Linked DNA regions of Yarrowia lipolytica. The protein of the gene in region 4 binds, or shares a complex with, the protein of the main gene of each other region. Links are inferred from orthologs where the notes say so. Each region holds a gene or a part of one and is shown on either strand. Other genes may lie near its edges. The genes, in order: YALI1_D18190g, YALI1_F24151g, YALI1_F05781g and YALI1_A09626g.

Evidence for each region.
Region 1: YALI1_A09626g (region 4) and YALI1_D18190g share a complex: the UniProt entries of both Saccharomyces cerevisiae proteins name them as parts of the cleavage and polyadenylation factor (CPF) complex. The link is inferred for Yarrowia lipolytica from reciprocal best matches to the Saccharomyces cerevisiae genes MPE1 and YTH1.
Region 2: YALI1_A09626g (region 4) and YALI1_F24151g share a complex: the UniProt entries of both Saccharomyces cerevisiae proteins name them as parts of the cleavage and polyadenylation factor (CPF) complex. The link is inferred for Yarrowia lipolytica from reciprocal best matches to the Saccharomyces cerevisiae genes MPE1 and SSU72.
Region 3: YALI1_A09626g (region 4) and YALI1_F05781g share a complex: the UniProt entries of both Saccharomyces cerevisiae proteins name them as parts of the cleavage and polyadenylation factor (CPF) complex. The link is inferred for Yarrowia lipolytica from reciprocal best matches to the Saccharomyces cerevisiae genes MPE1 and PTA1.

What each region holds. Positions count from the first base shown.
Region 1 is NC_090773.1:1,815,433-1,822,095, forward strand, and holds YALI1_D18190g (uncharacterized protein), read right to left. Parts: upstream 3,580-6,663; coding exon 2,998-3,579; downstream 1-2,997. Other genes in the region: YALI1_D18167g (uncharacterized protein), read right to left, coding at 1-1,298; YALI1_D18198g (uncharacterized protein), read left to right, coding at 4,383-6,663. UniProt on the Saccharomyces cerevisiae protein: RNA-binding component of the cleavage and polyadenylation factor (CPF) complex, which plays a key role in polyadenylation-dependent pre-mRNA 3'-end formation and cooperates with cleavage factors including the CFIA complex and NAB4/CFIB.
Region 2 is NC_090775.1:2,411,951-2,418,785, reverse strand, and holds YALI1_F24151g (uncharacterized protein), read right to left. Parts: upstream 3,629-6,835; coding exon 3,047-3,628; downstream 1-3,046. Other genes in the region: YALI1_F24173g (uncharacterized protein), read right to left, coding at 1-1,474; YALI1_F24171g (uncharacterized protein), read left to right, coding at 1,616-2,947; YALI1_F24130g (uncharacterized protein), read right to left, coding at 3,862-5,778; YALI1_F24126g (mitochondrial 54S ribosomal protein mL54), read left to right, coding at 6,174-6,494; YALI1_F24115g (uncharacterized protein), read right to left, coding at 6,824-6,835. UniProt on the Saccharomyces cerevisiae protein: Component of the cleavage and polyadenylation factor (CPF) complex, which plays a key role in polyadenylation-dependent pre-mRNA 3'-end formation and cooperates with cleavage factors including the CFIA complex and NAB4/CFIB.
Region 3 is NC_090775.1:573,705-583,409, forward strand, and holds YALI1_F05781g (uncharacterized protein), read right to left. Parts: upstream 5,740-9,705; coding exon 5,498-5,739; intron 4,417-5,497; coding exon 2,388-4,416; downstream 1-2,387. Other genes in the region: YALI1_F05814g (uncharacterized protein), read left to right, coding at 7,763-8,872. UniProt on the Saccharomyces cerevisiae protein: Essential in pre-tRNA processing. Component of the cleavage and polyadenylation factor (CPF) complex, which plays a key role in polyadenylation-dependent pre-mRNA 3'-end formation and cooperates with cleavage factors including the CFIA complex and NAB4/CFIB.
Region 4 is NC_090770.1:958,642-966,395, reverse strand, and holds YALI1_A09626g (uncharacterized protein), read left to right. Parts: upstream 1-3,781; coding exon 3,782-5,194; downstream 5,195-7,754. Other genes in the region: YALI1_A09654g (uncharacterized protein), read left to right, coding at 125-161, 326-427, 506-540, 713-723, 784-860, 1,020-1,045; YALI1_A09638g (uncharacterized protein), read right to left, coding at 1,516-1,974, 2,455-2,496, 2,547-2,579; YALI1_A09593g (uncharacterized protein), read right to left, coding at 5,722-7,095. UniProt on the Saccharomyces cerevisiae protein: Component of the cleavage and polyadenylation factor (CPF) complex, which plays a key role in polyadenylation-dependent pre-mRNA 3'-end formation and cooperates with cleavage factors including the CFIA complex and NAB4/CFIB.

The DNA.
Region 1 (6,663 bases), on a different chromosome or scaffold from region 4:
ATGACAATGTGTTGGACCTGGTCATGTAGAGTCAAATTCCCAAGGTCCTCTTGTAGAGACAACTCCTTTCCAGACTTGCCAAGATGGTGCAGAAATTCGTCTCGAAGACCAATGATACCGTGGCCATCCAGGAACTTATCAGCACGGGCCTTGTCAGCAGCTAGAATGGGCTCCACAAAATCCAAATACTGGTTGGTGATGTGAACATGCTTGGTAACGTGGACCTCTGCCCGTCCCTTGTTAATCAGCTTTCGAGTCACTTCACGCCATCCTCTGTACATCAAGTAAGGCTCGTCAAACTTGTACTTGAAGAAGAAGTCTGAGGAAGAGTTGCCAGTCTTTCCTCTAACTACAAAGCCCTCAATATCCTTCGACTCGTACTGCCCAGTCTCGTCGCAAAGAGTCAGGAATTTCTTGAGATCAGAGATTGACTCGAAATCGAGCGTCTTGACATGGCGCAAGCCAAATGTCTCGGCAAACTCCCGAACTCGGGAACTGGGGTAGGTGCTGAAGGTGGGGGTGTTGAGATTGAGACCGTGGAGGTAGATTCCGGCCTCCTCCGCAGAATAAGCAAGGACATGCTCTTCGAATTCATCATCACAGAGTTCCGCAACGGCAGTAGCGTTAAGCTCGTGCAGTGTAAGGGCCAGGTCTCTCAGGGTGAGATCCTTTGCCTTGAGATGGCGCTTGAGGTGCAAGAGACCAGCAAACGAATGACTTCGACTGCCTCCCTTGTCCCGACTAGCCGACGACATGTTCACTTCGGAGAGATCCTGAGAAGAAGCCTGGTCAAGGGGCTCGACTTCTGGTGACTCGGATTTGTCGCCTGTGTTCACCGGCCCCGTAGAATGCTTACTGCACACTAACAGGGTACCGTCTTCAAGACCAGAGAAGAACAAAATGCAGCCGTTTTCCTTCTGTGTCACTTCAAAGGGACCCCGCACGTTGCTCTCGATCCAGTCCCACTTTGTGGTAGCCACCTCTCCAATGTTGAAGAACTTATCGTATCCTCTCACCACAATCTTGTTGTCTCGGGTGAACAGCCCACGTGATTGGGAGGCGAGGACAATCTTGGGTTTACCATAGTCCCACTCGTTGAATTTCCATCCTGTGATTTCTCGTCCCTGTTCATCCGCCTCCATCTTTCCACTGTTGGACCAGATCACATAATTTCGCTTTCGGGCCTTGCCCTTGCCGGTCTGTTGGGAGGCAGCTTCGAGTCGGTCCAGGAGCTCGAGCTGAACGGCCTCGGCAAATTCTTCCGAGTCAATTTTCGAAAACGGAAGTTTCACTGTCATTTTTTCTGTCTAGTGATTGGACTGGACTGGGATGCAGATGTCCCTGAATATATACATGTACAGTATATATATTTTCTGGTGGCGTGCATACCCCTAACCTTGATCTTAGGCCAAAGCATAACTCTGATATGACACAACCGGCGGACAATACAGGGGAGCCAACGGAGCGATTATACCAGCTAGAGACGTGATTTTTGCACAGTACAGATTTGAGGACCCATTGATGATATGGTACAATTTCTGCTTCTTTTGGAGTCTATTTGACCTTGTTTCAAACGGCGTTGCCATCATAGGGGATATGCAGTGATGACTCAATTCGACGCTGGTGTGATCATTGTTGCGTTCTCAGGTGATCGAAGCGGGTAAAAAGGAGGTAGAAGAGCTAGAATGAGCTGTGGAGCTTGAAAGATGACTCTTTGGCTCTGGTTTTGGTTGCTCAGGACTTTGAAGTGGTGCCTTGGGCGATTCAGAACTGCTCCAATGAACTGACCAAGATCGGATGTAGAGTCAGCATAGCGTGTGTAAAGCACTCTGAGACTCTTGTACTTGAGACATTTGACTTGCTGGCTGTTGTATGAGACCCCTTCGTGTGAGTACAGTAGAGTCCACGACAAGAGAAGAGTATACGAGACACATGACTAACTCGAGATTGAACATAGACGAAGACTTGCTTGCTTGTCATTTGGTTCGTCGACGTTTCGTCTAGTTCAAGTCCTTGTTGTGGTCTTGTGGTAGTGAATCATGGCTAACAGATCAAGAAATCATATCAATCGTTCCATGTCTTATCCAGACTCGAGGTTGGTTCAGTTTGTTCTCATAAAGATCGTAGAAGATGTAATTCGGATAGGGATCGTGAGTATGATTCGTGTGTGTCGTGTTTGAGTCTTTGAGCCATCGGGGAGTTGAAAGAAGGTTTGGTTGTTTATGTTTTTTTTTTTTTGTTTTTTTTTTTTCTTTCCATAATTCATCATTGATCAGAGACGTCAGCGTGTATGTTTAGCGTGAGCAGACCTCACGAGTACGTCATATGTACCAGCCATCGTAATAATGCTCCTAGAGTAAAAAACAACCTCGGCACTCATTCCTCTCCGCACATCCGCCTCAGAGGAATGAGCGACGAAGTTGTTTTGTTGTTTTTTTCCGCGTTTTTTCGGATCAAAACCATGGCAACGCAGTTGAAATGAAACAAGGCAACTTGCCGGAGTGGTTAACGGGACAGATTCGAACCATCGTACTATCTGTTGGGCTTTGCCCGCGCAGGTTCGAATCCTGCAGTTGTCGAGCTGTTGGATAACAGACGATTCTTTTTTTATGGATCAAGACAAACCGGCATCATTTCTTTTCGTGTCAATTGGTTGGGCTCATGACAGTCAGATTCGCCATTGAACATGGTGAAGGATTGTCTTCTGCACCTCAAGAATTGTCTCTGCGCCCTCAAGGATTGTCTTCTGCACCTTCAAAGTGATGATCACGAAAAATGCGATTATATATAATGGAATATCCCCATCTGTCATTGATATTGGACCTGCGTGGCATGTTAGGGCATTCGAACACTGCTCTACCCCGTTTACCTTGCGTGCCAGCTCAGTATTCAGCATGAGCACGTCTACAGCTTGAACACGCCTACACTACGTCTCTTATTGTGATAAATATGCTATTGTTTGTATATATGTTTATGGACTTGAGTTGAGTTTCGATCTTATTGTAATGCTTCCTCCTTGGTCTCCTGTTTGGTCTCGTCCTTGGCCTTGTCCTTGGGATTGGGCTTGATGATCATGTAGTCGTAGATGCCGACAAACTTGGGATGTGCAAACTCGCATACCCGTCCCTTTGGACAGAAGCCCGTCATGTACAGCTCGCAGGGCATGCGTCTGATGTGTTTTCTTGAGCACTCGGGTCCCATCTTACAGAAGCCCTTTTCGTAGTTGAAGCACACGGGGATCTTGGAAGCGGGATCAATGTGAAGGTACTGGCAGTCTGGTGACTGTGTGCAAAAGCCGTTCTTGACATAGAACTGGCACTCGGGCATCTTTTGGAGATTGTACTCGTGCAAAAACTCGCAGTTGAGGCCCTTCTTGCACAGGCCTCGTAGCCAATGTTTGCACACAATCTTGTTGAGAAATGTGGGAGCCAGATGCTTGTCAGGACAAGAGTTGCCTCGAGGACATCCGTCAAACTGAAGGAACCCTCGACATAATGGCCGGTTGGGGTCTAGGCCGAATTGGTACTCTCGTTCGAGATATGGCGTGAACTTGAATCGAGAGGGCGTTTCAAACTTCATTTTGATCGCAAACAAACGAGCAGTCGAGCTGTGGTTGTGATGATGTGATGGTTGTGCGGTCTTGTGGTGGTGTCGGCGCGTGGTGACACTATCTGAGGGCGTCTAGTTAGATGAAGCTGTGTGCAAGTGCGTTTGTGAAGTGTGTGGGTGGATGACAACACCGAAAATGTAAGGACAGAGAGTCGTGGTGTTTAACAGGCTCGTCACGGGCGGCGTAGGTTGGTCAGTGGCGTTTAGTGATCGCGAACACAAGTTATTTCAACATACCAAACGAAAGTTTCACTATGCATGATTACATAACCAAAAGAAAAGGCCTGTTTGCAAACATTGATGGGAATCGAACCCACGTTGCCATCAGCACCATTCTTCAACAAATCCTCAACTAATGTAGTTAACTAATACTAGTATATGTTCCCTCCACTTGAGGAACTACTAGAATCATGATACGGGGGAAAAAGCTGATCTATACTCATAAAATACTTACCTTGGTTCCTTTTATCAAGTCAACCCATCTCTAACACTTTCGTATCACCCAGGATCATCACACTTACACCCGACGATCATGTAATCTACCCCAACACAAGCACTATGACTCAGAATAGTACCAAAATCGAAAAATCTACTTTCATCATCTGTTATAACAAGAAGAAACCGCCACACATTCAAATTCCCTTATAAATCTATCCACAAACACGTTCTCCATTTTGCATCCTGCACAACCTCCCTACAGTATGTACAGTACCGAAACCCTAATCATACCAACTACATCTCGACACGAATCACACTCCCCTACTCCTTAACAAATGAGCATGACGTACGCCTACTCGTCGCCAACGCATATCCGGACGTCAGTAGTACCGTTAAACTGCACGCTGGACGAGTTCCACAGTCACGTGACCCAGCTCAAGTCTGTGGGCCACGTGAAGCCGCGGCGGCCCGAAACGCCAACCTTTTACAGCGCCGACTCGCTGCTGCGGTTTGAGTATCACGTGACGCGCCAGGAGGATCTGCTCAAGCGCCATTTCGACGATCTGGAGATATGGAAGCGAACGCTGGTGGTGGTTGCAGTTACCAACAGTCTCAGTGGAGTTTCTGCTGACAGTCTTCAGGCGCTGCGAAAAGCCCACCCTAATGCGCTGGTGTACAGAATCATCAGTCTGAACACAGATGGAGGATTGGAGGATTCCACAGAGGATAAGATTGTGACCACTGCGACAGATACATTGAGTGACATTCTGGAGGAAATTGGAGGCAATGTTTTACAGCAGCTTGCCACGTTGGAGATGTCGTACTTGCCTGTTGGATTGAAGAGTCCCAATTTCAAGCTGGGAACTCTGAGTGAGGCCGTCAAGGTAAAGGGACATTCCAGTGACCGAAGAAGTGTCTCATTGACTCAAGATTTCACTCTGAAGGATGAACGACCTGGTCAAGTGTCCCATACAAAGACCAAGTCTGTAAACCCGGAGGTTGTTAACAAGGGACGGCATGCGAAGCTGCGAGGACATCTGTTTTTGTTGGCGGGGCAGCCCGCACGTGCTCTGAAGGAGTTCACGGATTCCATCCACATCTTGAAATCTGCTGGCGACTATCTATGGCTTGGCTCTGCCACTGAAGGCGCCGCCATTTCAATGACCCAGCTTGACTCCGCAGGAGAATCTTTCTCTATTCCATCTGACATTGTTGAAATGGTAAAAAGCAGTTTCAAACGGGGGACCCCGCCTCTCGTTGAGATAATGCCTTCGATTACTGAGCAGGTTTTGCATTTCTACTCGCTTTCTCAGTCGTCGCAGGATGATGCCGTCCCCCAAGTTGTCTACTGTGAGACCATTATACGATTCATTCGGTATCTTGTGGACCAGACCAAAACCCATGATGGCCTAATTCCCCCCATTGCAGTTGGAACATGGGGAAACCGACTTTATTCCACAAATCTCTCGAATTTGGGCGTTTCAGATCAATTCAAACTGCTGGGTTCATTGGCAGATTCCTATGAGCAGGTTGGAATGGGTCGTAAGCGATCATTCATTGTCTACCAGATGGTTGAGCAGGTGCTCCCCAAACTGCGAAACGACTCCACCGAATCAATTACCTCGGCGATTTCGTTTTTGGACTCTCTAGTGTGCAATTACGGTAACAAGAAGCTGTCTCCATCGGGGCAAGGATGGAACGAGCTTAGAACTCGTGTCTTGCAGCTCTGTGCACAGACATGCGCCACCCTTCCTGACTGGGAGGGTGTTGCTCGATACAACAGTCTGTTGCTCAGTACTACTGCGGACACTCTCCATCGGCACGATCAGATGCAGGCGTATTTGGCTGTTAAGAAGGCGCATGATATTTCCAAGATACATGTCGACTACTGGGACTTGAACTTGGTGCGGTCCGCATCTATTGGTCACATGCTCTATCCTCCTGTCAAATTTGGTCGTGATGAGCGGCTTACCAGTGGTTCTACAGAAGAGAAGGGCATCCTATACACTCCCTTTTCTTACTCCACCACCTCGGCTACAGTTTCCCCCCTCGTTAACAACGAGGAGTGTGAGTTCGTGATTCGTCTGCAGAATCCCTACTTGTTCCAGGTACACATCTCAGAGCTGTTCTTGCTTAGTGATATGGTCACCCTCTCGCGCCCTCTGACCAACATCGTCTTAGCTCCCAATTCTGTGTCAGAGCTCATTCTTGTGTCCCCTGTCGTTGCAAAGGAGAAGACCGACGAGATCATCACTTGCAAGCTCACGTCTGTTCGAGCTTCTGTGCTTGGCTGCTCAGCCAACCAGGAGTACGAGATCAGCGAAAGTGGTAGTTCGTTCACTTTGATTCCTCCTCAACCTGTTTTGAGTGTTACAGATCTGAGTCTCACAGATGGGTGGCTGCTATTGCTGGAAGGTCAGACTCTGGAGTGTAACATCACACTCCACAACATTTCCTCTCTCGTCGAGTGCACGTCTCTGAACGTCAACTTCAGCGATTCTACGTTCGAGCCTCTCCGACAGGCCATCTCAGAGGCGCGCGACTTGCCAGAGTCGGAAATCTACGAACTGGAGTACTTTTTGGAAAAACGCCGACCCCTCAAGTGGCTCCAGGAGG
Region 2 (6,835 bases), on a different chromosome or scaffold from region 4:
TCTTAGGCAGACGCAACAGGCCGTAAGAGGCTGCCAGCCCAGGCAGATCCAGTGACTGGATTCGGAAAATGGACTGGGCAACATGCTTGGAGTAGAACCGGACAAAGGACACAAACGAAAGAAGAGCCTGGTCATGGCGTTGTCTGTCTTCGAGCACCCACTTTCTCAGCTTGGTGTACAGTTCCGTAGCCTCCTGATCCAGTTTCTCTCCTTCCAGCTCCGACCCAGGTCCGGTGTATGGTCGCAGCTTCACCTTTCGGACTCTCATGAGGTCCACGTATTCCTCCTCTCGTCCCTTATGCAAAAGTACAATAGCCTGGCCCTGTCTTCCAGCTCGACCGGCTCGTCCACATCGATGCTGGAAGGTGTCAGCATCAGAAGGAGGATCAAGCTGGACAACAAGATCAACCTCGGGAATATCAAGACCTCTGGCAGCGATATCTGTAGTCATCAAGATGGCTTGCGCTCCAGTCTTTTGGTACTTGTTGAGAATCTTGATTCGAGTAGATGATGGCAGCTTTCCATGAAGACCGTAGATCTCATAGGGTTCTTCCCTGCCCTCGTTGAGATGTGAAAACATTTGCTGGTAGTATGTCACAGCTGCACATGTGGGCAAGTAAACAATGGCCTTTCTGTAGGGGTAGATACTGAGCAAATTGAGAGCGTAGGCCAGCTTCTCGCGAGGCTCCAGAACAACGTAAGAGAGACCCAGCGAAAGCGGGGTCTTCTGTTCCTTCTTACCGCCAACCTTGACGACAATCTTGACGGGATTTCGTAGACCAATTTTGACCAGGTTCTGGATGGCGTCTGTGATTGTAGCAGAGAAAAGTCCTGTTCTTCGCTGTTTGGGGAGAATGTTGATGATGGATGTAATGTCTCGTCCAAAGCCGAGGTCGAGAAGCCGGTCGGCCTCGTCCAGGACCAGAGAGTCAAATGCGGATGTCTTGATTTGGGGAGCACGCAGCAGCTCGAGCAATCGGCCAGGAGTGGCAACAATGATCTGAGGCTTGTCTCTAAGGAAGTTCTTCAGATCCATATGAGATGGAAGATCTCCACCCATGATCAGCTGGCCTCGGATCTTCTTGGGCATGGTGGGGGCGGCCTTTCCCTTCTTCTTCTTCTCCAGGGTGATTTTGTCGCTAGCATCGGCTTCAGGACATCCCATCTCCAGAATGGACTGCAGCACTTCATATGTCTGTCGGGCAAGTTCCCGGGTAGGAGAGACGACCACAGAGTAGACTCGGCCAGAAACAGCCGGTCCTTCCTTCAGCAGATTCAGCATTCGCTGGATCAGAGGAACTAGGAAGGCAATGGTCTTTCCTGAGCCAGTGACTGCCTCGACAATCACGTCCTTGTTTCCTGCAAACATGGGGATGACTGAAGCTTGGACAGGGGTCATATCGGTGAATCCGAACTGCTCCATGGTGTCGATCAGCCATGGCGCAACGGGCAAGTCTTTCCAGTCGGTAGACATTATGTTTTGTGTTGTGTGAGTGTGCTTGGTCTTTTTTTTCTCACCGCCAAATTATTTCCATTAGCCTCGTACTCTGTGCAGCTTACATGCAGGCCGACACTCCCAACTTAGTGATGAAAAATTCCCAGCTCGAATCTTGTCATGGCTCTGATAGCTGCACTAAAACGGCTGATTTCCGCTCCGAAAGCGACACGACAGCTAAAGTTCACGCCACACCAAGTTTCCAGAATGGCCGAGTATCAGAAATGGACTCGAGCGGACCTCATCAATCGCATTTTCGAGCTGGAGGGCAAGGACCCTAGTACCGCCCAGGGAGCCGTGCCAGACCCGCCGGTCAAGGCCTCCAAGGCCAAGCGAAACGAGAGCTACGACATTAGTCGGCACCCCGTTCGAAAAATCGCGATCCGCTTTTCCTATCTCGGCTGGAATTATGGAGGTTTGGCTGTCCAGCATGAAGACACCCCTCTGCCCACTATCGAAGGAACCATTCTGTCTGCCATGCAACGGTGCAGACTGATCCCCGAGTCGGCCAGTCTATTCGATCTCGACTTTAGCAGATGCGGAAGGACAGACCGAGGCGTGTCCGCCTTCTCTCAGGTCATTGCTCTTAAGGTGCGATCCAAGCTGTCTCCCGAGGAGCAGCAGGACGCCGCTAACGACAACAAGGAGCTCAACTACATTCACATTCTAAACCAGCTGCTGCCACCAGATATCCGAATCTACTCTGTGGCTCTCAGACTGCCCGAGGGATTCGACTCCAGATTCTCTTGTGAATACCGGCACTATAGATACTTTTTCCACAAGGGCGATCTGGACATTGATCTAATGAGACAGGCTGCCAAACTGTACCTGGGTGAACACGACTACAGAAACTTCTGCAAGGTGGATGGATCCAAGCAGTTGGCACACCACAACCGAGTCATGTTAGAGGCCGAGATCGAGCAGCTCTCGGACGACATCTACTACTTCAACCTCAAGGGACGAGCCTTCCTGTGGCACCAGGTTCGATGCATGATGGCTATTCTCTTCCTGGTGGGCCAGAAACTCGAGAAACCAAGCGTGATAACCGATCTGCTGAACCCCGAAAAGTATCCTGGACGCCCCGTGTACGACATGGCTCACGATGTTCCTCTGGTTCTTTATGACTGTACATTCAAGGAGCCCATCGAATGGATCACTCCCAACGCCATGCCCCAGGAGCGAATGGAAAACTCCAATTTCAAGCACTGGCACGACGTCATGCTCCAGAGCACCCTCAGTCTAGCTATGATGAAGCACATTGCTGAGCGAACTGGAAGCGAACGGACTTTCCCCCGTGCTGAAGACGGCGACAGCGACAGAGTGGCGGTGGTCAACGGCTCTGGAAGCTTCTCTCGGAAGATCCCCTACGTTCCCATCAGTAAGCGAAAGATGCTTGACACTCCCGATGTGACTAATGAAAAGTGGAGAAAGCGAAAGGAGGCTACACAATAAACCCCATCCATCATCGTCACCATCAACATAATCTAATAATGAAGCATTTTTAAATATATAATTTATACAATAGTGAGATACACGTCCTTCTGGTCCTGTCTAAAAGTAGCCAACAGCATGCATCAGAGGCAGCTTGGGATGCTGCTCCTGCCACGAGTCCATGATACCCATGATTTGTGCGTCGAGGTCTTTGCTGTCAGCTAGACTCCGGGCCAGCTTCAAGATGCCTTGGGCTCCAATCACAGAGTCCTCATGGTTATCACGGATATCCACGTTGATAACATGCACAGGTCGCTGCAACTTTTCCCCCCGGTCCATCAGGTCGTCGCAAACAGCTTCGAAGCACCGCTCCTCGCAGGTGAAGACCACGTCAAAGACGTTCTTGTGTTCCACCCATCGCTCAGGAGCCGTCTTGATCTTTCGATTTCGATCCAACATGGTCAGCAGTCCGTTAGCTGTGTACAATCGCTCGTCTTGTGCACTGAGCTCGTTATAAATATCATCGTATGGCGTTCCGAAGGCGTAGATGTTGGGCTTGTCGTACGCTGGACCTGGCAGTCTGACCGCGCTTCCCGTTCCGTAACTCTCCACGTCGAACCCGGCCTCCTTGAGAACCTTGTGGGCCTCCATTGATCGATTCTGATTTGAGGCACACACGGTGCACATCTTAAGCTCCGTCATGATTGTGGTGATTGTGTGTGTTAGTGTGTGTTCGTGTGAGATCGAAATGAGTGTTCGAAAATATCATGCATGGAGATAATATTCAAAATTAGGTTACAGTACATCCAGGGAACCCAGCACGATACAAGTACATGTACAGGTACGATACAAAGGTCGGGTTATATCTACTCACTCAGTCACTATCATTACAACATCGTCATTAATCTATTTATTCAATACACTAGATAACCTGTCTAGTTGCCGTCAGCCTTGTACTTGATGAAACGCATCAGGTTCTGAGAGGCAGCATCAGCGTCCTCCCGCAAACTGGGGTTCTGCTTCTTGTTAATTTTCTTGGCCATGTGTCGAACCTTGGGCAGCAGAGGCTCCAGTCGCTTCAGGTAGCCCTTGTTGACAAATACGGGCCCATCGTAGGGGTACTTGTCGCCAAAGATGTCAAAGATCTTGTCCACGGCCTGTAGAGCAACCTGGGTTTGGGTCTGCGGAAGAGCCTCCAGAAGCTGGAGAAGGTACTCTCCAACCTTCTCAACCAGGGCAATGGATTCTTGAGAGCCACTCTTGCCGGTAGCCATTGCTAGAAGACCAACCAGAGCAACAGCTCGCTGGTGATAGTCGGCAATCTCGTCGGCAGTGAGAGTCTCCGTGGCCTTGGTGACTCGCTCAATCTGTGCCAGAATGAAGTCGGACTGGGAAACAGTCAGAGAGTTGATCTTGGAGTCCAGAGCAGCTGCTACAGCCCAAAGAACACCAACAGCAGATGTGAGGGAGTCAATAGCAAGCTCGCCCTCGTACTTCTCGAGCATGGGGAACACATTGATCCAGAGCTGCTGGGCGGCTCCCTGCCACTGCTCAGAGTCCTTTGTGGGCTCGTGAGATGCCATAGTCCATGCCAGATTGTTGAGAGCAGCCATGGCTCGCGACTCGAGAGGGGCATAAGTGAGAGCCTTCTCAATGACAGCAGAGGCCTCGTTGAGAAGCAAGTTGATGGTAGAAGTAGCGGCAGTTCCCTCAGCGCCGTTCTTGTCTCCATGGCCAAAGTCAATGTCCTGGGGGATGTCAACCTCCATATCTTCGTCGACGTCCTCGGGCTCCTCGGTCACGCCTGACCAGGTGACCTGTTCGGCAATGTCCGTAATGAGCTCGAGAATGACCTGGAGGGCGTTCACGGTGGAACGGGCCTCAATGGCGTCCATGTCCTTCTTGTCCGTGGCAACCACAGTTCCGTCCTTGGAGCCAGCATCCTGCTTGGCTTGCAGGTCGGCAAATGCAGAGTTAGAGTTGAAAATGATGAGCAGTCGCGACAGAATCTCGGACAGAGAGGCGTCTCGGCCCTTAGAGCCTACTCCCTGGCTCTCGACACAGATGTTGTAGTGCAGACCCCACACAAACACCTGGGCAGCGATGGGTAGAGTGGTATCCTCGAGGTAGATCTTATAGTCGAAAGGAATGGTTTTGTAAAATTCGGGGTTAGACTCGGAAAAGGTGTAGAGATACTCAAAGGCAGCAGAGAGCACAGCAGAGGGGAACTTGGGATTCAACTCAGCCTTGGTCTTTCGCAGCTCCAGAAGAGCAGCCACGGTCTGGACGCCAGCTGGCGAAGAGGCGATGGCGTCGAAAATGTCATCGGAAGTCACGCCCATGTTGGTGAGCAGAGACAGAATGTTTTCGGCAAACTCGCACAGTAGAGTGAATTGATCTCCTTTGGGGATCTGCTGGGAGCCGTTGGCAATGTTCTGGCAGGTGGAAACAATCTTCTCCAGAGAGTCGGATGCAATCTTGATGACGTTCTTTCGGAACATGAACACGGCCACGTCGTAGCCCTCCTCCAGGACAATGTTTCGCAGCAGGCCGTACGACTCCATGACAACCTCCTCGGAAGCGTCAGGAAGCAGCTTGTCGATCACAGTCTGGATGAGCGACTCCTTGAGAAGCATCTGTCGCAGCTTAGGATCCTCGACCATAGCTGTGATCATTCCAATGGCAGTGCACTTGTCTGCGGGCTTGCCGCCGTTGAGCTTTTCTAGCAGAGGCAGAATCTTGGTGGTTCGTGTGTTTTCATCCTTGCGGTCGTCCTTGGCGGCCTGGGACGCCTTTCGGGCGATGGGGTTGTCTCGCTTGGTGTGCTTGGCTTTTCGCTTGATTTTTGCCATTGTGTTTCGTGGTTTTGTGTGTTCTTAAGGATGTCTATGAAGTTCTTTGATTTCTCACTCTGCACCAACTTCACAATTTTTTAAACTCGTGCGTCTCTAAGGTGCTTATTCAGCGATGGAGTGTAAGAGGAATATGGGTGAGTATTACGATATGTTTTTTTGTGTTTGTTTTTGTTTTTTGGTGAGAAACTATTCCAAAACACGTCGGAAAAACCACTCGCGGGTATTTGTGTTTCTTGCAGCCCTTCATATATCCATTTTAGCCACTTCTTTATTGCCGGCTACCACAAGTAGTGCTTCCCTCATATCCCTAACCCTCAGCATGGTCCTCGTCAACTGAAAAACTTAGCATATCGAAAACGACAAAAACGTCACTACACACAACTACACACAACATGCTTCGACTCCTGACCAGATCGCGGGCCACCCCCCTCCGTGTGATCTCGCGTGCATACTCCACCCCCTCGCAGCCCAAGGTGCCCTCCAGCGTCGCCGCAGGAACCGTTCTCAAGGGTTGCAACGTGCGAAAGAACGGCCAGGACCCCGTGGCCCTGGAGGACTCAGAATACCCCCAGTGGCTGTGGGACATTCTTGATCCCGCGGCCCAGAAAGCCAAGCTTGCTGCCGACCCCGTGCGAGCGGCCCGAAAGGCCCAGAAGGCTCGAGCCAAGGCCATTATGCAGGAGAACAACTTCGTCTCCAAGATGAACAAATAATCAGATCCGGCATAAGTCTGCCCAGTCTCATGTAAATATGATGTATATATGTTTTTTGGTTGGTTGGTGAAAGAAGAGTGTAGGGTTGTGGAGGCTGGTAGCGAGACGAGATAGGCACCTACATAAACAGTATGTTTTGAATACAACTTGTATATATATCATAGAGGACGGACATGAGCTCTATGGCTTCAGATATCTAACTGCTGCATCTGTTTTGTGGATCATCTACCCCAGATCACTACATCAGATTCATACCCCTTGTCAACTCACCACGTCCTCGGATCATGGGTAGTCCACTCAGTTAACATATCAATTGTCTATATGCACAATTACTCCTTTCC
Region 3 (9,705 bases), on a different chromosome or scaffold from region 4:
AACTTTCTGACAGATATGATTCTAGAGACAGACGACAGCTCGATTCGGAAATTTTCAACTCCAACTCGAGACACCAGTCCAGACCCCGTGACTCCCTTCAACACGACTCCCGACGCTCTAACAACTTGTAACGTGCCCAATCAGTGAGCCACGCCTATGACTAATACGACTCGGGGTCTAGATATGACTCTCGTCTCGACTCCGAATGGGACTTTGGCTAGCCACTCACGTGGCTCACGTGGCTCACGTTGCGCGTGTGACTACAGTAATTCATAAGGCTCTGGTGACTCCCGTGACTCCCGCAACTTCCGCAACTCCCGCCACCCACGATATCGATCCAGATATGCAGACTCCCGAATCTACGAGTCTAGATGTGGGGATGATATTATCCGATCCAGATAGTGAGCTGATAGCAACAGCTATTATTTCTAGTTTGTATTGTTTGGTGTAATTGATTGATTGACTTGATGACGAGAGTGAAGTTGAGGGAAAAGAGGTCGTACGGGCAAGATCCTATCATGTCTCTTCTAAGTATGTACTGTAGTGTAGTGGGAAAAAGATATCTGGCTTTGTTATTATCAGTTTTGAGAACTATCAACGCGATTTGGTCTTTTGATTTGGCTTTCTGATTTGGTCCTTCTTGGTTCAGTGGTCTGTCTATTGTTCACCCGATTATCACCACTCCAAGGAGGAGTTGAACGGACCTGCATCTGAACAAAGACAACTACTTGTAGTTTTTCAACTGTATACCTTAAAATCGAAGAACAAAAATCAACGCCATCGAGAAATTTGGGCTCGCGCTAATTAATAGGAAAATAGCGCTAGGAGACTCAGTAGAGTCGATTTGCTTCGGCTCAAATCCCGATGGAGCATTTTCATGGCCATTTTGGTGATTTTTTGGAGAATTGTTATCAAAAAACGCGAAAGTGGAAGATTTTGAGTTTAATAAAAGTAAATATATGGAACATTTGAAGGCGTTTTTGGAGGCCATAGTATGGCACAATAATGAAAAGACATTGGTATTTGAAGTCCATGATTCTTCATTCATAGAATTAGGTCCCATGACAAAAAATCTGACTTTGAAAACGAACATTTTCAGCTGAATAGGAGCGTCCTTTATGTTGTCTTCTCGTTGACAGAATACTTCCATCAATAATAGACGGTAGACCGGTGTAACTTCTCAATTGAAACGTTTAAAAAATACTGGCCCAATCAGAGACTTTCTTCTGCTAATCAAACTCAACAATATATATATACATATCAGAAACCCAGCTAGTAGTTTCCAGACAGGTCTGCTCCGAGTAGACGTGCGAGCTTTAGCTCAGCTGCGAACAGCAATCACTCCTGCTAAGCCATTCACCGTCGAAGTTGCAGGCTGTATAGAGCTGTTTCTGCGTATCACCTTGTCTCCAACCGCAATCTTGCTTTGAACTGGGAGCAGAACTTGATGACACGGACAAAAGATAGCGTTTGCCGTCGTTCTAGCATCAGCCAGGGAAACCAGGTAACAATCCACACCATGTATCAATGACCCTCACCAGTCACTCGGTTCGAAATTTTGAGATTCTCGTAGTCAAGTTGGTTAATCCAAGTGACTACAAAAGAGATTTTCCTCAATAAATCCATCGACACTAGTTCAGCAAACTTCTTGGCTCCAACGTAGTTGAAAACCACGTTTCCTAGAGCCACAGTCTCTTGTCGAGTAATAGTATTCCAGTCTTTTTCGGACAGTGACAATTCCATAACCGTAGAAAGTTTCTTGAAGACATTTTCAAGCTCATTTTCACTCTTAGTCTCGCCCAGTCATTCAATCACAAGTCTGCCATTGACCAGGTACCTCTTGATCGTTGGCATACTCTTCTCAAGCAGTGCCAATGACGGTATGACCTGAATTGGGGGCATCTGCATCTGCCTTAGGGGCGTATTTGACATTCGGGCTGCTGTTAAGCCAGTCGACCCGGTAACAAGAGTGGCGGGCAACGTGTAGATAGTGGTGGGGTTTTGATTAATGGTTCTTGTTTCTTTCACATCTCCTCTGGCTAAATATTGGTGGAAACCCTCAGGCAGACGGGGCTAAGACGACCTGCTTACACTCGTGACGACCTTGGAGAGGAGAGTTTTCAAAACGGAAACTTGCAGTGGGTTGGCCTAAGCGAGTTGTTTGCAGTAGTATCTATCACCTGGCTCCATCTTGCCAAATCCATATTACAATATGTTTAAAGACCCTACTTGGAGAGAATAATCGTGTGTCGCCGACATATTACCGCTATCTGTCGCTGGAGATCTTCTTTGGATTCATCTGTCTCTTTGTCAGTATTGTTCATAACTCCCCATCTTTCCACTACAGCTCCTCTAATACATTCTACAAGTTCATAACTCTTCATTATCTATTGCTCCTGCTTCACCTGTGCTTTGGGCTCCTCAGAAGCCTCCTCCTTCTTCACCTCCAACATCTTCCTCTCAACTCCTTCAACAACCAACGGTCTATACTTGCCCAGAACCTGCTTGAAACCGCCTCTCAGACTCTCATTCTCCTGGTAAACCTCCTCAATGACATCGAGACAGTAGTCTCGGGTAGGAGGACGCAGCATGATAAGATACTTGAGCGACCGAACACCAATAACCGACCGATCAGGGTCAATCAGAAGATGCTTGAGCTTACTAACCAGGCCGTAATCGAGCTCGGGAAGCTCGCCCACCAGTCTGATGAAATACTTCCAGTTGTCGGGATCAATGGTCTGAACAAGAGTGTCCATGATACGGGAAGCATACTCGTAGTAGACAGACGTGGCTGGAGTAACTTTACCGTACCGGATCAGCTCCGAGTACCATTCTTCGTTGAGCCAGGTCATGACGTCCTCGAAATTCGCTGTAAACGCCGTAGTGGCCATGTTCAACAGCTGGTTTCGAATGTGAGTGGAAAGTTGGACCTTGAGAGAGTCGGCAGGCTCGGTTTCGGGGTCATAAGCAAGACCACGGCTCAACAATCGACTCAAAATCACCATCCACGAACCGCCGGTCCATTCGTTGATAGCCAGCTTGGAAATGGCATTCTTCTGGATATCCAGCGACTTGGCTGTTGCCACCGCTACGTCCTTTTGTGTCAAAAACCGCGACACGATTTCGGTTCCGGCCGTAAGCTTTTCAGACTCTGAAAGGGGCTCGGGGGGTGGCAGTTGGAAAGTGACTGCTGAGTCGGTTTCGGTCTGTGAATAGTCGGAAGAAACTCGGGAGTCGAGCGAGGAATCACGTGAAACAGGAGAGTCGCGTGATTCCATGGAGACGTCGCGGGATCGAGAGCGGGAACCGGTGTTGTGCGACTGAGCCCGTCCGCGAGATCGGGAGTCGTCCCTCTCGTCGTCGTCGTCTTCACGGGACCCGGACCGGTAGTCTCGCGACTCGCTTCGTCTGTTCTGGATATCACGTGACTCAGATCTGGACTTCTTGGCCTCTTCCTTGGCCTTTTCTTGTTGTTGCCAATTGTCCCATCTTTGCTTCACCACTCCAACTCGACTTCTAAGAACCGCTTCGTCTACGCTCAGCAAACCGGTGAGCGCGATTTGAAGCGCCAGTTGCTGGGGTAACGTCCGGGCGTCGAAAGCCACCAACGGGTCGTTGGCAGGAATCAGAGTGAACAGAGCGCTATATGAGTCTGCATTGGGGGGCATGGTGGTGCTCATGGATACAGGAGTAGGTGTAGATGCATTGGTGGTCGGCTCCTCCGTCTTCTGGCGCTTGGTCACGTGATCGTCGACTGGGGCCGGTCGTTTTCGGCCCACCTCGGCCAGAAACCGTTCCATTCTGTGTCGCAGCTGCACGTGGATCTTGTTACGTAAGCAGTGGGTAACCAGCATTTTGAGCGACTTTTCGCAGAAGCGAACGGCGAGTTTGGAAGTGAATTTCGTCTCCATAGCCACCGGGTCCACCGCCAACACCGTTTGCAGAATTCTGTTGCCGTACTCGGGTCTTTGTTTGAGAATGGGGGCCAGAGCAAACACGGTTGCTGTGAAAATGGGTTCTGCGATTTTCTGGTTGTCATGTGACAAGTCGTCACCAGTGAGGTTGCCTAGGAGGCGGTCCAGACTACCCTGGCCCTCGGCCTCGAGTGATCTGTGGATGAGCGGGTGGTTAGGCGGCACCATGCTCATGTTGGCCTCGGCTGACGGCTTTGATCTGGCGGCCAGACGCGGGTCAGCAGGACCTGATTGGCCCCGTGACTGGACGAGCACGAGCTGCTGGGCAAATTTGATGCATGCTATTTCGACCGAGGGTGAAGGGTCGTTGCTCCAGATGGACGTGATCCGCTCTTTGAGGGAGGTCAGAGTGGACCATTCGGAGGAGAGTTTCGGGTTGAGGGAGACCGCGGAGAAGACCAGGGGGTAGATGAGGGCGGAAAGGAGAATAGGGGTTTTGGGCTGGGTTAGTGGGAAACGAAAGCAAAGGCCCGAGGACCGAGGACTAAGCGGACAACAGTAGGACGTAATACAACGAATACCAGAGTTTGAGCGGACAATCGGGAGTTGATGTCTCTAGAATAGTAATGTCTCTGGACAGCACCATATCTCTAGACAACATCAGTCTCGACAGCAACTCCTCTCTAGATAAGACATATGTCTAGAAGACATACATCAATCCTAGACAGCAGTAACAAAAACGGTGCAGTCAGAGGGACAATATCCATAGTTGCTCTGGAGGCAGAAACAACTGAAATAGACAACCAGAGCTACATGTCCAGCCAGAATTGACCAGAATCCACAGGAGTCAAGCAGTAGGAGGCACGCCTGTCCGAAAATTGGAGAGAAACACTGGATCTGTTGGCACTTCTGAAACGCTTCAATTCGCATATATAGCTAATGAAGCATTGTCAGTGATGCAAAGACGGTTCCACTGACTAAGTAGACAGACATTTTCTATAGCGAAAGACTGCGATGCGCTAGGCTAGATCGTCAACCGTCTGTCAGTGGGGAACGCAAAACGGCCAAAAACCTCCCCTGCCACGTCACATGACCTGATGCGTGTCTCTCCGTCTAGTTGCTATGTCATTTTTGTCCCAAACACATGTTCTTGTCCTTGACAGCATTGGGATGGTGGACCCAGAAAGATGCAATCAGTCGATGATGACTCCAGGAGCATACTGGGGGGCCACCAACACGGTCGCCGAAGTTCTACAATAATGGATAAGAGTCACGTGTGGAAAAGTGTGACGTCTGGATCTGTGTCGATACTGGTGTCGTTGAATCAGTCCACGTTGTCGAGAAAACAAACCCCGCAAGCTAAACGTTGAGTCGATCACGCAGTGGGTCGTCTGTCGGATCAACGTCCAACTCAGAGATAGTACAACGCCATAAACTAGACACAACGGCCATTACAGTTGACAATTGCGGTTTGCGTCGTTGTCACAAGAACAGTCATGTGACTTAAAAAATGCTGAGGGCAACCTCAGGCAGGTCAGGGTCACTTGATCTTGTCCAGTCCCTACAGTCACATAGTACTCACCTCTCCATTCAGCAACTTGTCCACCACCGTCAGCGCCTTGAGCGCCAGCTCGCGTCGTTTCTCCAGCGCCAATACCGACGCCAGCGCATCAAGCAGAAAGTCCGCCAGCCACTGTTGCAGCTCCTTCTCGGGACGAGAAGCCAGCTCCAGTAGAGACGGCACATACTGCTCGTATAGCGCGGCGTCCTTGGCGGCCATGTCTGCGACCTGGCCAAGACTCGCCAGCTGTTCTGTTAATGACATGGTGATCGAACACGGTTGACAAACGGTTGCAAAAGGATCGAAAAACGATCGAAAAACGATTGGCAAACGATTGACAAACGATTGGTACAATTACTGTCTTGTGTGTGGTGTCAAAGACAGTGTGCAGTGGGCGGGAGAAAGTTGAGTTGGGACTGGCAAACTTTATCTGGACTGTATTTCATGGGTGTGAGGTGAAACGGGGGGAGGGACCAAGAATGGGATTGGCGAGGAGAGAGATGAAACGGAGAATTGAAGGATGTTTATCATGGGATTTTGAAGGAATGTGATGTTTTGGGCGTCAATTTGGCCAAAATCGAAGACACTCTGGGGAAATAAAGCTGGGTGTTCTACATGAAGATTACAAGAGTTAATTGAAGAGAGCATATTGTACGAACTCTGGATGGTCAGAATGGTCAATACTGGCAGCGTCACTCTGAAGAGCTTTATACACTTGTACTGTATTAGAAATTCCAAGCTGATCTCAATGGTATTTTCAGATTTCTATTAGACCAAAAATTACCACAATTGGAGTGATCAGAGTGCAAGTATAATTTCGACGGTATGTACTCTTTTTATGTTTTATATTTTATATAGGATGTAGTGTACACAGTGTACTTAGACTGAAGAAAATTAAAGCACGAGGACGACTACAAGTAGTTGTAGCATCTTAGAACGAGAATATACAAGAAAAAAGGGAAGTGGAAAAGAAAGATTGTGTTCGAAATGCTTCCCGGAAGCTACCAATACAGTACTCATTAGCGTCTTTGCTTCACTCCCGCCAATAGCTATGTTGGATCGTTGAAGCAGAATGCGACTACAGTATGTAGGGTGGTGTACCAACCAGACAAGATGTACTCGCAGTATGTGGGAATGGTAACGGACAAAAAAGGAGCTGGAAAAAAAACAGAAACTGGACTTTATGGTATCAAAATGATCACAATGAACTCAGGAAACCAACTCCAGAGGTCACGTGAGTTAGAAGGCGAAGACCACACCCAATATTTCTCAGGTCCAGCTGCTGAGCGAAGGAAGTGGGAATACTGTAGCATAGATTCAATCAACTATGATTTATCATAAAACCCGCTATGTATTTTCCCCATAAGTTCCACTTTAAAAAAACACACTCTGTAAGCCCCAAAAATTTCACTTTTTTTCTTTTTTTTTCTTCCCCTTTTTAACGTCATTCTGACGAGCTAAGATCGAACATACACTGCCTGCCAACAAGAGATCAAAGGGTCCTTCCAGTCCACTAAGAAGTGTCCAGAAACAGACCAAATTTTGACAGAACAATAATATATCGCGGATATTAAAATTAATTTCCAATTTTCAGCCAATCAAACGACCCACATTTCGCTAACAGACCCCGCAGACGTAACAATATATACGAGTGTACAGTATATACTGTACTTGTACTTGAGGCATGTACAGTATCAGTTCCAGTAAACACGCCACAGTATGGGAGAAATTATGGGAGCTGATGAAAAGTGCAACACTGACACGAATAGCACAAAAAGGGGAAATACCTCCCTCAGAGAACCAATCTCCACTCACCTCCAATACCCAGCTACCATCTTCAAAAATGCATGTTTTACCCATACCTCCATTTCTGTCCCTGTTCTGGCCACACCAAAAAAGAGAACCTTCCCATCCATTAACTCTGGCATACAATCATCATTTCTGGTATTTTTTAGACCACACACAATCATGTCAATCAATATCCTTCGTGACCGGCCATAATTACTCTAATAACGTGATACCACCCGAAAATCCCACTCAGAGCCCCCCCTGATCTCCCCTGATCTCCCCTGATCCCACCAGATCAATCTCTCTATCCCTAACCCAAGCGCATGTAGTATGCACAAGGTCGCACTCGTCTTCTCTATTTGGCGATGTCAATGGGAAATGGAGAGAGCAGGAAACGGGGGCACAAACAAGTGACATAAACGCATGCACAAACGTATATAAACGAGCCTCCTGAACATGATACCCTGGTCAACTACCAACTTACCCACCACCAACCACAATGCAACTACCCCCTCGGCCAGACTTTGACATTGCCACGCTGGTGGCATCAATAACGGTCCCGGAAACCGAGCTGGTGCTCGGTCAAATGCCTCTCGGTGCTCTCGAACAACTATATCAAAACAGACTGCGTCTGGCCATTCTGTTTGGAGTCAGAGTAGGAGCAGCAGTCCTGACCCTCATTGCCATGCATCTGATCAGCAAAAAAAACCGCACCAAGATCCTCTTTTTGGCCAACCAAATGTCGCTTATCATGCTCATTATTCACGCGGCTCTGTACTTCCGCTTCCTGCTAGGACCCTTTGCCTCGATGCTCATGATGGTCGCCTACATTGTGGACCCACGGTCCAATGTTTCCAACGACATCAGTGTGTCTGTGGCCACCAACGTGTTTATGATGCTGATGATCATGTCCGTGCAACTTTCTCTCGCGGTTCAAACTCGATCAGTTTTTCATGCCTGGCTCAAGTCTCGAATCTACGTTACCGTGGGGCTCATCTTGCTGTCCCTCGTCGTCTTTGTCTTCTGGACCACTCACACCATCGTCTCGTGTATCGTGCTGACTCATCCGACACGTGACTTGCCAAGTATGGGCTGGACACGGCTCGCCTCCGACGTATCCTTTGCCTGCTCAATTTCCTTTGCTTCTCTCGTGCTCCTGGCCAAACTCGTCACCGCCATCAGAGTCAGAAAAACCCTGGGCAAAAAACCCCTGGGATACACAAAGGTGCTGGTCATCATGTCGACACAGTCACTCGTCGTGCCTTCTATTCTCATCATTGTCAACTACGCTCTTCCCGAAAAGAACTCGTGGATTCTCTCCGGAGTGGCCTATCTCATGGTCGTTCTGTCTTTGCCCTTGTCTTCCATCTGGGCCACCGCAGTCCATGACGACGAGATGCAGAGCAATTATCTCCTGAGCGCGCTGAAAGACGGTCACGTGCAGCCCTCCGAATCGAAACTCAAGACAGTTTTCTTGAACAGACTGAGACCTTTCTCGACCACTACAAACAGAGATGACGAGAGCTCGGTGGACTCCCCGGCCATGCCTTCTCCCGAAAGCGACGTCACCTTTCTCAACACAGGTTTTGAATGTGATGAGAAAATGTGAATTGACCCAGAACATTATGGAACCTTTGAATGCCGCCCCATTTCGTTAACAGCTCTCACTCTAACCCTTCTGCTTATACCTTGTCTTAACTATACTAATGAATGAATGTGTGGATAGAGAGGTTGTAGAGTTGAATTTTTTTTCTGGTGGTACTGGACCCCACGGACCATTATTTTGAACTCGCTTTTAATAATCCAGCACTCTTTATAACTTTGGACCCTAGAGTATAGTGACTCGCTGTTACGAAGAGATTGGTGTAGATATCTACATAACTCCTTCAAAATTGCACTGATTAGAGATTTGAAAGTTGCATTAGAGACCGTTTTTCAAGACAAGTTCAGAGCTATCTCTGGATCTATAATCTCCTTACAAAAGCACCAAAAATCACTCCAAAGCACCAAAAAATCTAACGTTCACCAGCAGAGGTGAGCAACTGGCCTACTACACCAAAACCAACATCAATATTTGCACAAACTAGAAACACTACAACTTCCACTCGGAACATACCCAGTATCTCCACCCTCCGCCAAAACTCACCCTGGAGCATTGAAAATTCGTACACTGATTAAACGGAACTTTTGAACCTTTTAAATACTCTTGTAGAGTCATTTTTGGCTAAAATGTCTACAAAACAGGTTATACATTCTCAGTTCTCTCGTTACCGCCAGACAACTCGTATTCGTATCGTACTACGCCCGTAACCATGGTTACACGACATGACAACAAGAGATTTTTTTTTTTTTTTAAATTCGCTGGACCTCGGCTCAGTAGTTACTCTCAGAAGACACTCAAAGTGGAACTTGCAAGGGTTGAAAATGGCTGAAATCTTATCA
Region 4 (7,754 bases):
CACAATGGACGATGACCGGTACCATGGGCTCGTGGCCTATCCGTTGACCTCGACAGAGGTCGATGTATGGACCTAATACCCGGTACACGGCTGCCAAGTGTTCAGCACCGTAGCCATAACGCAGCCGACTGACTCCGACTGTTCCAACTACAAACCAAATGGTAAGTACATCCTGCTATTTGCACACCCATCATATGATGATTACTACTTTAAGTTGGAATTACCGACTGAATGTACTCTTTTCCATGTTAGATAACAAGTTGCTGCTTTACTGATCTGTGAACAGAAATGAAGTCTATCCCTTCAACCACATTACTAACTCCAGGTATGTTTCACGCTCTCATTATTATTTGCAACATGATGAACCATAGCACTGGGCACCGAAAAATAATGAGTGACAAGCTTAAAGAGGGCCTAGAAAACCCTCGTTCACTGACAGAACAATAGCAAATTATTGTGTGTCGGGTGTGCTTTCGAGTTGTTATCACACATGTACTAACCTCAGTTAATACATTCTTCGTTCCAACCCAATTCCTAAACGTGAGTATTTACAGACGTTTCGCTCAGTCCGTCCACCTTATATGATGATTCCCTAGATGACGAGTCAGAATGGGGCTTCCCCTTGACGATACAAACTTTTAATACCATTCATGCCTTCTGAAATGATGGTCTCTTTGAAGATCGTATCAATGCATGAGCTCAACTAACCCAGGTTTATTCCTCGTAGTCATCAGACGACAATGCCTACAACACCCTTAGAATCGGTTAGAATGATGATTTCAGAAAAATGACAAGCATATGTCTGACTCTCAAGTGGAGAAAAATTTTCTTACGTCTGACTAACCGTGATCAACAAATTGGTGAGTATTATTAACTTTGCGACAATTGGATGATGATTTACCACAATCACGACGGTCTACTGTGCCCCGAAAGGGCCTTGATGATAATCTGCCTGTGACTAGGCGTGGAGCTGATATTCTTAGTTATTTGTTCCGTCGTTTGAAATATACTAACCCCAGAGAGTGATGAGTTCGTTACGCGCTGAGACTGGAGATATATATCATAACGCTCATTGAAGTGCAGAACTACTTTGATACGATGTAGTTTGCACAATACAGATGTCCCGTCTACTGAACACTATTACTGTAATTAGTAGTTACTTTTACAAGGTACTCACCAATACGTATTTTTCATACAAGGAGTTGTTCTGCGAGCGTCATACAAACACCTGAAGTACTTGTACTCGTACAGTAGAGCGCAAATATCCAACATGAACTATCTCATGTCTAATTCACGGACTGTACGGGTACATGACACAACGAATAACACCAATATGTACATTACTACGAGTACGATACATACAACGGCACTTCATCATGGTGTTTTTATCAACAGTCATATCCCTATAGCTTACACAGCAGGTTATACAGGGTACTTGTGGGATGAATCCCACGTTCTATTAGTTTACATTTTAACTGTTCTCTCCACCATTTCACCCACACAACCGTTACCTAATTAGACGGTCTCCTCAAAGGCTGACTCGATGGGCTTCTCGAGCAGGGCAGCATGGCCAAGGATGAGGAAACCAGAAGAGCCAACAATCCAAAGCACAGTGCTGATAGGAGAGGCGAAGAATCCAAGGGGAATGGCGACAATCATGAGACCAGTGTAAAGCTGGGAGGAAGTAAGAGTCGTGAAGCCAAGGTTGAGGTCAGATCCTCCAAGAAACGAAATTCCGTACAGACCAAGGAAAACAAAACCGATAACAAACAGCAGCAGCCAGTTGGTGAGGAGAGAATAGAGAGAAAGGAGACCGAAAATGATGGCATAGTTGGTGCTGAAGTATCCCAGGTTGAAGTTGATTCGAGCTTGAGCTTCGCCCCAGGTCGGGGGCTTGGAAATTCGTCGGAAATCGAAGAAGTCGGTGGGGGACTTGAGATTGGCAAATCGGTTCTGGAGATTCGCGCCCTCAGTCTGTGTTAGTCCAAAGCTCAGAAAGCGCAGATCCAGAGAATTCCCTTCGCCTCCATATGCTCGCGGGTGATGGTACCTCAGAGTACTAGAGGCACACCAATGTTTTCAATAACGTGAGACACGTAGGGGTCGCTATCATCGCGCTGGCTCAAGGACGTGTTCGATGGTCGCTCACAGTCGCGCACCCTCTAGACTTCTTCACGTCACTGAGGATTCTCAGGTTTAGCGCCATATGCTTAAGTGCGTCACATTCTGCTTACAACAAAGAGTCGAGCACGGGATGACCATCTTCGTCTCACAGTCCACACAGATTTGGGCAAGCCTCATCACGGTGGATTACGGTCGCGTTGTGAGACAAATTTCAACAGCATTGAACGTACATCAATAACGCTTCCGTTTATTCTCAATACCATCTCTTTTTGAGACTTCGCGATAGTCTCGTATTAATTTCACCATGCCCATCTCCTTGATGATACTCACTCTTAGTCGCTCGAGGTTGAACCGTTCAGACAGGCCAGACAGCTGTAGTTAGTAAAAGTTGGGATGCGAAAACGCAGGGGTCTCATACTTACTGAGCTGGATCCCATAGATGTGATAGCGTCCATTGTTGTTGTTGTTGTTTTCGGTGAACACCAAAGAGCCGGTTCAGTATCAACGAATTTGTGGGAACAGTGTTTTTTTATGCATCCCACACGATAGCCTACGTGTCCGTGTTTGGGTTAGGGTTACGTTTCCGGTATGTGAGTCACGTGATGGACAAACACAACTCTTGCAAGTACAGTACTGTACTTGTACGCGTGCACAGGACATACTGTACGATACCTATTTTGTAGTCTCAGGGGCGATGTATGTCAGGCTGTGAGATTCTCTGTAGAAGTGGCAAAATCTGCATTATCTTCATGACCACCGTGCTAAAAGACAGAAAAATTATGCGACCGCTGCTTTAGACCACGTTCCAATTACTGTACTCGTACAAGTAGAAGTACATACATACTGTACAAGTACATACTACATACTATACTCGTACTTATAAGTACAGTGTAGAATGGCTCTTGTCCAAGCCTCTGGGACGTCCCACTTAATGCTGCTGCTATACAGTATGTATTGTACAATACAAGAACAAAATGATCTTCAATAACTTGTACTTTTTTTTGGTTTTTTATACTTGTACTGTGCGATAGTTGTACGATAGCTACAAGTGTACCAAAGTTGCTACTAAATACTGTACTTCGCGTGCATGAATGGACTGCACGTGGTATGGGATGACTAATATGTTAGTGTTCTTAATATCGGTGCCATCTTCATGGGATTGTAAGCTAAGGGCGTGCCCAGAGAGGTCACTGAAGGGGTAATTCGGAATTATTCTACAAATTTCGTTATAATAGCACAATCATTTATCCCATAAATTTGGTTTGGGTACGGGTTACCCTGTCGTAAACGTCGGCATAATAAATAACTGTACGTTCAAGTACTGTGGCACAACGATAAGAAGAACTTCGTATCGAGCGATAGGAGCCATGGTAACAGATTATGTAGTATACCGATGAGGTGCCATATCGTAGCTCTTCAACATCCTAAAGCCCAAAGCTCTTAAAGCCTCACCTAGTACTTGTTGTTTGAACTTCGGTACATGTACTGGCTCGAATGTCAAAAACACTGTGATGCCTTAAAACCTGTATTTACGCCACCTGCAGTGTTACATAATCAACGACACTTTTCATTATACTTTTAGAGAGCTTGAAGAAGTGCACACCACACCAGTCATCCAACACAACTACTAATCAATTTATTACCTCTCCATCGCAGCATGTCATTTGTATACTACAAATTCAAGTCGCAGAAGGAGCCGTCCAAGGTCGTATTTGACGGCACATCCATCTCTGTGTTTGATCTGAAGCGTGAAATTATCACTTCTAACAAGCTGGACAAATCTGCGGATCAGTTTGATCTAGCTATTGTCAATCCCGATACGAAGGATGAATACAGAGACGACAACGAGCTGATTGCCAGATCTTCTTCCGTACTGGCACGACGACTGCCCTCTCGACCAGGCAAGGGCGAGGCCGCTAGGTACGTCAACGGAGCGCCTCCAGTCACACGCTACAGACGAGACGATCAAGAAGTAGTGCAACCAACATCAGCAACACCAGGATCTACTGGCACTGGAGGAGCCGAAGATGATCTCATCAATGCTATGTTTGCTGCTCAGGGAGAACAGTGGAAGGAAACACAGAAGCAAATGGCCTACCAAACCCCTGTCTACAACCGACCCTCTTCTTCTGGAAAGCCTCTTTCTGCCAACTCCAACAACCCCCAGGCAGCAGCTGCTCAGGCCCAGTATGGAGATACTCCGCCGGAAGGATACATGTGCCATAAGTGCGGTAAGAAGGACCATTTCATTTGGAACTGCCCCACCAACAACGATCCCAACTGGGAGGGAATGCGAATGCGGCGAACCACCGGTATTCCCAAGTCATTTCTCAAGACTATTGCTAAGCCCAACCTCAACGAGGACGATCTTGATGGTAAGTCTGCTGTCTTGATCAATGAGGATGGCGAATATGTGGTGCAGGTAGCAGATCAGAAGTCATGGGAAAAGCAAAAGGCTCGTGCTCGACATGCAGTTGAAGATACCAAGGCTAAACGAAAGGCTGATATCGATCCCGAACTGGTATGCCCTCTAAGCAAGAAACTGTTTGACCACCCGGTCACAACTCCTTGCTGCAAGACCACGTACTCAGAAGATGCCATTCAACAGGCACTGTTGGATGGTGACTTTGTTTGCCCCAAGTGTGGTGCTGAGGAAATTCTGTTGGACCAGCTTCACCCCGACAAGGAAATGGAGAAGAGAGTGAAAGAGCATATTAAGAAAGAGCAAAAGAAGGAAGAGCCCGATGCAAAGCGAACCAAAACCGAGGATGGTTCTGCTGTTTCCCAGGCTGGTTCCTCGGCTCCTCCCAATGCACCAACAGGACCCGCAGGAATGCCCCAGATGCCTTTCATCCCTCCACAGATGATGCCATTCTTCATGAAGCAGATGGAGCAGATGCGAAAGATGGGTATGCCTGTGCCACCAATGCCCAATATGCCCATGGGTGGTGCTTCTGGCGGCCAGACGTTTGTGGCTAACCCCAATGGAGTCACCAATGGCCAGTTCATGGACAAGGGTGCGAGACGACAGCAGATGAACCAGAAGAGAAGATACGATGACCGTCGATGATCTTCAAAACAGCATTGTTTTGTATATTGCATGTAATTTATATGGAGTTTTGGGTTATTCTAGTCAAGGAACCCTTACTTGTTGTAGTGTGTATCAATTATGTGTGGATTGCGATGTTGGTGGGCAAGGGAGGTGGCCTGTGGCCGAGATATAAATATAATATAATCGTGTGCGTGTTTGTTGTGCGTATTTCCTAGTGAACACTAGGGAGCCAGTTGGCTTAGTATGTACGTCAAATGGGATGCCTCCTACAGTGATACCCGCGTCGGTGTGTCAGGAGTTCATACGACCCAATGACCTCGTAATGCGGATATTTCGTATACAGTTGACATACGATACGAATACATACCCGTCCTATACACCATCGGTACGTTCTTGTAACTGTACCATACAGTATGTACTCGTATAACTATGAATACAATTGCAGTGCACCGGTACTTCTTAGCTTCTCCGAACTACAAGTCAATCAATTGTCAAAAATCCCTCACTCGGGGTTGTCTATAATCTATAATACTTCTATAACTTGTTTACTGCTTCTTACCGTCGTTGAATTCGATGACGGCGTACTTGCCAGACCAGCACCAAGACAGAGGGTTGGAGTTGCCCTGCTCGACCCACTCCTTCTCGAGCTGCTTATCCTGACCAGGCTTGAGGCCAACAACAACATCTGCCTTGCAAGTTCGGAAAGACAGAATATGAACATCGTGGACTCCAAGGGGACCGAGTGCGGTGTGGAAAGACGTGTCTCGAGGCCACTCAGCATCACAAGTGAGCTTTCGGTAGTTGAGATCACCCTTGAGGATAACCAGAGCGGAATCCTTGATGTCCTCCCAGACCTGGGAGCCACCATCGATACCCTGAGGATAGATATCCCAGAAGAAGTGGGGGGTGGTCCAGAAGGCTGAGGTTCTGACAGACAGAGAGCCATCATCAAGGTATCCCTGAAGCTTAGAGACAAAGTAGTCAATCTGCTCTCGGCCTTCGGGGAAGAAGGAGGAGTCCTTGAGGTAGTTGATGGTCTTCACAAGATCGATGGGAAGAACATCAGAAACGAACCAGGGGATATTCTTAGGGTGGAGAATGACGTTCTTGGCAAGCTTCGAGTCAAGCAGGAAGAGGACAAGAGACAGGTCGGCATAAAGCTCAAAGCCGGCGTTATCGAGAATAATGTCTACTCGAGAGCCATCGTTCTGCTTAGAGTCAGCGTACAGAACGTCCCAAGCCTTCTCAATGTGGTTGACGAGAATCTTCTCCTCGTTCTTCTTTCGGACATCAGCTCCCTGGAGGTTCTTGATTTCCTCAAGAGACATGGTTGTCAGCAGAGAAAGATCAGTAGCGTTACCCCAGAGAGAGATATCAGAGAACTCCTTGAAGAGCTCCTTGAGGGTGGCCTCGTCAGAGACGCCGTTAAGCTGCTCAGCAAGGGCCTTGTACCGCGTAGCGAGCTCGGAGACACCAGCAGAAGAGGCCTTGAAAGCATCCTCCTTCTGACTGCTGAAGATGTCGTAAGTCTTCCAGTTCTTGGTCTGATCAAAGTAGACCTGGAGCTCTCGGTAGAGGTAGCACTCAACAAAGACCCATCCGCCCTGAAGCCAGGAAGTAGGGTTCTCCTTAAGCAGACGGTTGTAAACGGGGATGTCGTCGGCAACGTTGGGAAGCTCCTTCAGGGGCTTGTCGTGCTCAACATCGTGCTTGAGAGCGGTGATTTGCTCGAGGACCTTCTTGAGCTCATCTCGCTTCTCTCCCTCGGGGGTCTCGGCAATGGTCTTGTGAACATCGTCAATGACACCAGTGAGGATGTGAGGCCATCGATCCCGAGAAGAGGTGTATGCAAAGGAGTTCTTGTCGTTGTTCAGGTAGACCTGAGGGTGCTTGAAATCGGTAGTGGAGACAGTAGACATTTTTTTGTTTCTGTTTAGAGTCAATTGAGCAGTGAGGGTGGGCGGGAGTTGCTCTTTTATATGTGTCGTTTTGGTTACACAGCGCTATAGACCGCACACAGTTTATCCTGATTAACGTTACCTGCGTTGTTGGAAAGGGAACCCTATGACGAAATCTGACGTTGGAGGTGCACGTTGTTTTTGGGTTGACATGAAGACGTTTGGGACGTGTAGGAAGTGAGAGGTGCAACGTGGTAAACAGACAAGATGACACGGACTGGAGTGTTCTTAACAGTAAACCATAGGTACAGTAATCATGAACGTGCCATTTTATTCCCGAAGCGTCACTGACACAGTTAGGGCTTTGTGGGGGGGTTGCATCTGTTGTTTCTAGCACTTGTTGGGCACACCTCAACGAACCGAGGGATTATAAACGTAGACATTTCTGTTAGTTATTGGTATCCAATTGAACGCGTGAACCTGCTCAGTTCCATGGTGCAAAGCAAACCTTGTTATTGGTACAACCGCGGCCACTATTTCACTCACTAACCAACTTCCAGGATTGGGTTCATGGAACAACGTAGAACTTTGGAAAGTCATGTGATTAGCAATGTTACAAGTGTGAGTACAGTACATACTGTCGGTACAAGTGGAGGGTCATTTTTTAACCACAATGTAGA